Xenopus tropicalis: one gene and its partner. The protein of the gene in region 2 purifies or fractionates together with the protein of the main gene of each other region. This does not show direct contact. Links are inferred from orthologs where the notes say so. Each region holds a gene or a part of one and is shown on either strand. Other genes may lie near its edges.

Evidence for each region. The genes of interacting proteins can lie anywhere in the genome.
Region 1: the proteins of ppp2cb (region 2) and ppp2r2d purify together in Homo sapiens (affinity purification with mass spectrometry; 6 studies listed by BioGRID and IntAct, counting the BioPlex papers as one, with this or other methods). This does not show direct contact. The link is inferred for Xenopus tropicalis from reciprocal best matches to the Homo sapiens genes PPP2CB and PPP2R2D.

What each region holds. Positions count from the first base shown.
Region 1 is NC_030683.2:21,335,412-21,339,642, forward strand, and holds the start of ppp2r2d (serine/threonine-protein phosphatase 2A 55 kDa regulatory subunit B delta isoform), read right to left. Parts: upstream 2,804-4,231; 5' UTR 2,576-2,803; coding exon 2,569-2,575; intron 1-2,568. UniProt on the Homo sapiens protein: Substrate-recognition subunit of protein phosphatase 2A (PP2A) that plays a key role in cell cycle by controlling mitosis entry and exit. Involved in chromosome clustering during late mitosis by mediating dephosphorylation of MKI67.
Region 2 is NC_030677.2:97,482,272-97,486,218, reverse strand, and holds the start of ppp2cb (serine/threonine-protein phosphatase 2A catalytic subunit beta isoform), read left to right. Parts: upstream 1-1,145; 5' UTR 1,146-1,352; coding exon 1,353-1,454; intron 1,455-3,947.

The DNA of each region.
Region 1 (4,231 bases), on a different chromosome or scaffold from region 2:
CAGAGTGAGAAATGACCCTTTGCTTCCTACTGCTCCATTCAACCAAAATTGGCATCCCTAGCGGCTAACCTGTGCCCCTAACTAGGCATCCCCAGCGGCTAACCTGTGCCCCTAACTAGGCATCCCCAGCGGCTAACCTGTGCCCCTAACTAGGCATCCCCAGCGGCTAACCTGTGCCCCTAACTAGGCATCCCCAGCGGCTAACCTGTGCCCCTAACTAGGCATCCCCAGGGGCTAACCTGTGCCCCTAACTAGGCATCCCCAGCGGCTAACCTGTGCCCCTAACTAGGCATCCCCAGGGGCTAACCTGTGCCCCTAACTAGGCATCCCCAGCGGCTAACTTGTGCCCCTAACTAGGCATCCCCAGCGGCTAACCTGTGCCCCTAACTAGGCATCCCCAGCGGCTAACCTGTGCCCCTAACAAGGCATCCCCAGGGGCTAACCTGTTCCCCCTAACTAGGCATCCCCAGCGGCTAACCTGTGCCCCTAACTAGGCATCCCCAGCGGCTAACCTGTGCCCCTAACTAGGCATCCCCAGCGGCTAACCTGTGCCCCACCCCCCAGAAGTTGATCTGCTTGATGGCCATGGACCCTGGTAGAGGTAATTGTAATGATTCAGGTGTGTGACAGCTGCCACCCAATGTGCCCCTTTAACCCCTTATCATTACAAAGCACTGTGTAGGGCATAAATGGCTGCAGATTAGGGGGTGTATAGCCTATGGCAGATCCACAGGAACATTATACTGCATGTTAGAAGTATATTATATGCAGCACTCAGGGGACCCCAACTTACTACTTATTAAAAGAAAAAAGTTGTAAAAACCAGGGCCAAAGTAAATAAAAATGAAGGGGTCCTACCACATAACCCAGTGATACCCTTACATAGCTCTAAAAGCTACCCCACTGCCCATTTATATATATATTAGCCCCAGTGATACCCTTACATAGCTCTAACAGTTACCCCACTGCCCATATATATATATATATTAGCCCCAGTGATACCCTTACATAGCTCTAACAGTTACCCCACTGCCCATTTATATATATATATATATATATTAGCCCCAGTGATACCCTTACATAGCTCTAACAGTTACCCCACTGCCCATTTATATATATATATATATATATGAGCCCCAGTGATACCCTTACATAGCTCTAACAGTTACCCCACTGCCCATATATATATATATGAGCCCCAGTGATACCCTTACATAGCTCTAACAGTTACCCCACTGCCCATATATATATATATGAGCCCCAGTGATACCCTTACATAGCTCTAACAGTTGCCCCACTGCCCATTTATATATATATATATATTAGCCCCAGTGATACCCTTACATAGCTCTAACAGTTACCCCACTGCCCATATATATATATATATATATATTAGCCCCAGTGATACATTTACATAGCTCTAACAGTTACCCCACTGCCCATTTATATATATATATGAGCCCCAGTGATACCCTTACATAGCTCTAACAGTTACCCCACTGCCCATTTATATATATATATTAGCCCCAGTGATACCCTTACATAGCTCTAACAGTTACCCCACTGCCCATTTATATATATTAGCCCCAGTGATACCCTTACATAGCTCTAACAGTTACCCCACTGCCCATTTATATATATATTAGCCCCAGTGATACCCTTACATAGCTCTAACAGTTACCCCACTGCCCATTTATATATATATTAGCCCCAGTGATACCCTTACATAGCTCTAACAGTTACCCCACTGCCCATTTATATATATTAGCCCCAGTGATACCCTTACATAGCTCTAACAGTTACCCCACTGCCCATTTATATATATATTAGCCCCAGTGATACCCTTACATAGCTCTAACAGTTACCCCACTGCCCATTTATATATATATTAGCCCCAGTGATACCCTTACATAGCTCTAACAGTTACCCCACTGCCCATTTATATATATATATATATTAGCCCCAGTGATACCCTTACATAGCTCTAACAGTTACCCCACTGCCCATTTATATATATATTAGCCCCAGTGATACCCTTACATAGCTCTAACAGTTACCCCACTGCCCATATATATATATATATATATTAGCCCCAGTGATACCCTTACATAGCTCTAACAGTTACCCCACTGCCCATTTATATATATATTAGCCCCAGTGATACCCTTACATAGCTCTAACAGTTACCCCACTGCCCATTTATATATATATATGAGCCCCAGGAGCCCAGCCCCACACCCCCAGTACATGCCCTGTATACACCATCCCCAATGTAACACAACACGGAGCTGCAAAGCTTTCAGCGCATTATAAGCAATACAGTCCTGCAAAGCATTCTGGGAGCTGCGGTTTCACTACAACTCCCATCATGCCCTGACAGGTAACACACTGTATCAGCAGCCAAGGAAGAAGAGTTAGGCCGTAATGAATTGCAGCAAGAGGGAATGCTGGGAGAGCCATGCTAACCCACGACTCCCAGTATCCCTCCGCCAGCAGCAAGGATGCCCATGGGCCCCGGAGGTGGCCTGCCCAAACTGAGCCCGCCCCTCCTCTCTCAATGGTATTTACCTGCCATGGCTGCCCTCTAGGACCAGGCCTTTCCCGAACCCGGGAGGGGGTTTCCGCCCTTCAGACTCTCGCTGCCCTCCCTCCCCCCGGTGGCGCGGCTGCTCGGATAGGTGCGTGTGGAAGTCCCTGCCTGTGTGGGAGGGAGGGGACTGGGGGAAGGAAGGAAGGAGAGAAACGGGAAGCGCTTCGGGAAAGGGGACGCAGCGCTCAGTAGCCGCCACTCTCGGCTTCTCCGGGACGGGGTTTCAAAATGGCGCCCATGGCCCGTCGACATGATTCGGTGACGTCATTTAACCCTTCTGGCGCCGGGCGCGGCACTGAGGCAAAAGAGTGAGAGTGAGCGATGCGGCCGCCCCTCCCCTCCTGACCGGCACCAATAGTGGGCGTGGTGTTTTTTGCCTGGCTCCATTCGATTGGTCGGCGGAGCCTGAGTGTATATGCATAGGTGTATTTATATATCGGCAGGGATATTTATAGGGACAGTGCTGCTGCGCTGGGCTTGTGCGCAATGGCGGCTCCGGAGGGGGCTGTTAGTGAACGAGGTATTTTTATCAATTGGGAATGAGGGGTAGAGGCACACACAGTGGGACACACCGATGTTTCCATACACACATACGTGCTAATCCTAGGGGCAGGTTTAGTGTAGAGAAGAGGGAGCATTTTCTCTGAGCCACAGTTACATGGTGGGTTATATATATATATCAGGGATGTGCAGCCTGGGGCCCCTTACTCTCATCAGCATCATTTGTTTCTGTGGCATCTAGGCTCAAATGTGAGGGCTAGAAAGAAAGCGAGTACTGAGAGACAGGCACTGAGAGACAGGCAGCAATACAGTGAGACTGGCACTGAGAGACAGGCAGCAATACAGTGAGACTGGCACTGAGAGACAGGCAGCAATACAGTGAGACTGGCACTGAGAGACAGCCAGCAATACAGTGAGACTGGCACTGAGAGACAGGCAGCAATACAGTGAGACTGGCACTGAGAGACAGGCAGCAATACAGTGAGACTGGCACTGAGACACAGGCAGCAATACAGTGAGACTGGCACTGAGAGACAGGCAGCAATACAGTGAGACTGGCACTGAGAGACAGCCAGCAATACAGTGAGACTGGCACTGAGAGACAGGCAGCAATACAGTGAGACTGGCACTGAGAGACAGGCAGCAATACAGTGAGACTGGCACTGAGAGACAGGCAGCAATACAGTGAGACTGGCACTGAGAGACAGCCAGCAATACAGTGAGACTGGCACTGAGAGACAGGCAGCAATACAGTGAGACTGGCACTGAGAGACGGGCAGCAATACAGTGAGACAGGCAGCAATACAGTGAGACTGGCACTGAGAGACAGGCAGCAATACAGTGAGACTGGCACTGAGAGACAGGCAGCAATACAGTGAGACTGGCACTGAGAGACAGGCAGCAATACAGTGAGACTGGCACTGAGACACAGGCAGCAATACAGTGAGACTGGCACTGAGAGACAGGCAGCAATACAGTGAGACTGGCACTGAGAGACAGCCAGCAATACAGTGAGACTGGCACTGAGAGACAGGCAGCAATACAGTGAGACTGGCACTGAGAGACAGGCAGCAATACAGTGAGACTGGCACTGAGAGACAGGCAGCAATACAGTGAGACTGGCACTGAGAGACAGCCAGC
Region 2 (3,947 bases):
AAGTGACTTAGATCGCTTACCTTCTACCCCGGGCTGGTGCCCCTGTATGGAGAAAACAGCACCAGCCCGGGGTAGCAGCGAGCGATTCCTCCCTCGCTGCGCAGTAGAGTGAAAAGCCGAACTTTAACAGAGAAGTCGGCTTTTTCACTCTACTGCGCAAGCGCCGGACTCTGAGTCCAGGGGAAAGGGAGGCGGAAGGGGGAAGTGCATTGCCCCAGGTGCCCTGGGCTGGTGCAGTTTTCTCCTAACAGGGGCACCAGCCAGGGGTACGAGGTAAGCGATTCAAGCCACTTGGGGGTGCCTAACATTTTAGCACCCCCAAGTGACTTAGCCTTTCCTTCCCCTTTAAAGAGCTGTGTTCTGGCCATTATATCAGACATCTGCCCACTCCAGTATGTATAGATTACATTTTGCCTAACTATATTGCAAACATTTTTTATTTTGGGCAGTCTCTTTTACCCAGTTCCACTTTTACACAGAACCGCTGCTCACTATGCGAATGTGTCCCCCAACACTAAACTATTCAACTCCTAAAATTATCAGAGGCAGATATTTTGCACCCCTGGTACCATGAAAAACACCTTTACAAAACGCATTATAATATTAGACAGCTTTATATTATAAGGAAATCGAGCTATATTTATGCATCTATGTCAAGTTGCATGTACACGTACCGCAACTATACGTTTCCAGTTTTATAGCAATGGGGTGTCAAACACGAACACATCTGCCTTTCCGCTGTCACTTTCACTATACTCTACTCCACCCGTTTCTACCCACAACAACCCAAATAAAGATCATTGAGAAAAAAAAAAAACGAAAAAAAACTTTTTCTGCAGGTGGGGGCTTCCTTGCGCATGCGCGCATCCCTCCGCCTCTCAGTCTGACGTTGCGTGTCTCCGTGCACGCTTCTGTAGTTTACGGGCGCGGGCACGCTCTGTCGCTGTGCAGGTTATGCCTTGTGTCGCGCATGTACATTTCAGTCTGCCATTCGTTGTCTCTGTGCGTTTTATCAGCTCCACCCCCTCTCGGCGCGCTCCCGCAAGTACGGGGGTGAAATTGAATGAGGAGGAGGAAAGCTACAACGACATAGTCGCGTTTCGGCCTCCTCCTTTTGACAGGCAATACCTTAACATAAGCCTTATTAATACGTGAATATTTCCGTCCGGTCATCACCGGCCGTAGCCTCGCACGAAGTTGGGGGGTGGGAGGCGTAGGCCGTGCTAGTGAATGTGTGACAGGAGAGGGGGCAGAGAGGAGGGGTAGCAGACCGATCGGCACAGTGCGGAATTTCGTGTATGTTTGTAGCGTGTGTTACCGTGGAATAGTGTGGTTGTCTGGAAGTTTCTGGCATGGAGGACAAGACGTTTACTAAAGAACTGGACCAGTGGATCGAGCAGCTCAATGACTGCAAGCAACTCAACGAGAGCCAAGTGCGCACCCTGTGCGAGAAGGTGAGACCGGCCCTGTGCAGCAACGTCTGTAAACACTCAGCCCCACATACATAGGTGTATAGCACTCCCAGCATGATACCGTCATGATCTCGTAGGGGGAATACATGCTACGCACAGAAACATACACACGCCTGTAAGGGGCCTCGCTTGTTCATACAGGCACGTCCACACAGCAAATAAACATACATCAGGGGATTTACTGTGTAGGATTCTGATCTTGAAAATTGTATTTAGTTCCCTTTTGATTGGCAGCTGTTGGTTCCAGTTTCTAAGACCCCCTGCTTATTTGAATGTATTAGTGTATGTATTTATATCTTTATTTAGCAAGCACTACTTATGTGCGCAGCGCTGTACAGTAGAATACATTAATACAAACAGGGGGTTATTAAGATAATAATAGATAAGTTTAAAGTATAACAATAAATACAAGATACAATTGCAATAAGTTAAGGGTCAAAGAGACAAAAGGATGGAGGTCTCTGCCCCGTAGAGCTTACAATAGTGGCATTAGTATTCATTTATTTTCAGAATACAATTTGACATGTGGAATTATCTTAAAATGTTCCTTTAACATATATGTGTATTGTAGCTAATTACTATTCAGAGTGAGATTTTATAATTTGATGGGTGCCTTGAACACAGCCAGTGTTCCTTTCTCAGGGATTTATTTTCTAAATTAAACGGGCAACAATGTACCCCTATCATCTTTGCTAATAATCATAGGGTTGGCAGAGTGCATTGATGTGACTTTATGATGTAATAACAGGCACAAAGTTTGCTAAAGCATCTTTAAATCCATAACATTTAATCAACTGTTTGCTCTCAAACAGCAGATTACAAAATACAAACAGATGGATTGCAAAAACTGGAGGAAACTTTTCACCTGTAATGCAAGTGTTTCCTTGTAGGGAAAATCACTACAGTTAAGTGATTCTTGCAGCTAAATGCTGTTTAAGGACTACAGCACACAGAGCTACTTGTAGCGGCTACAAAGCCCCAGAAAATACTTTGCCATAGACAGTACTGAGAACCATCTTTGCTAAAACACACGTAGAGACAATTATCAGTACTATTTTGTAGCTGGTGCAATTAGCTCCATGTGTCATTGCACTAAAGGTACAAATATAAAGTTAATTTTTGATGAGTACCTTTCTTTAATCCTTTGAGAGCTTGATACTTATGATGTAGCCAGACTGTTTTCAGTAAACACGTGTCACCTCTCTTAATACTGTTGAATACTTGTGGTGACAGGTGGACCTATGCGCAAAGCTTTTGCTTGAGTGTATTGGGCCAGTGTGTCTCTGTTACCTCTTCATGTCCATCTGATATGGCACTTTATGTTCAGTAGTAACATTATGGGTGATAGGACTATGGCCTTTTCTTTACGCGTTGTGTGCCATTAATCTAAGCATATTTTCATTTACCTATCTTTTTTTTTTTAAATAGCTTTTGATTTATCAGAATCCTTATTTTATTCCCCCAGCCTTCAACTGAAAATACTGTTTGGTTGTCAGGGTTTCCTGATCCTGACAACCATTAAACTGATTGACTGACTGTAAGTCCTCAGATGTGTTGCTGTTTTTATTTTCATTGCACATCATTCTAATGGGACACTTTACTGTTCATCTTCATTTTGAGTTTCTCTTTTGTGTCTGGTTGTTAGGCCAATTAAGTCCTACCATCCTCATATCAGTTGAAATTCCAAGCTGCCAAGAAAAAAAAAAGAAGGCTGATTAATAATTGTTATAGAATGCTACCATCTATACCATATGTGGAACTAATTTTAGGATGAACTACTCCTTTAAGTTTGGGTTCTTTAATGGTGCTGTGCTACAGTTAACAGCATCGTTCAACATAAAATCAAGCATCCAGACATAATGGGAAATGAAATGTGTGTCCATCTAAGGAAATAGGACTATAGTACTTCACAACATACAATAATAACTATATCTAACTGTATATATAACTAGGCTAAATGTAAAATAAACCAAACAGTAAAACTTTGAAGGGTAAGGTCAGCTAAAAGAAGCCATACATCCTCCACTGTAAATTAAATTTACAGTGGCCTTTCACTTTAGTAATAAATAGCGCATGACTTTTGAGCACCTTTTAATCCATTTCACCCTAACTTTTCTGTTTGTTAACTCTCAATTTCCTTTGCTGAAGAAGGTAATATTTTATTTATTTTACTCCCCCTTTTAAAGAAGAAAATAAATAAAGCCCTAACTCATTACAGCTAGAAATACTTTATTTTATAAACCAATCATACAGTAGAAGCCCTACAATAGTAATGACCCATTCTTTCAAAGTTGTCCACAGCAGCTCATAAATTTTGATCACTAGACCACTTTGTGCTTGCCAGTGACTCGCCACAGGCTAATTTTTCATGTCATTAAAATTATTGAACAGAAAGTGATATTACATTTATTATAGAAGCTGAAGCTACTGGGATGATCATTTGCGATCCAAAATGCACTGGTTAGTGTGAGGTGA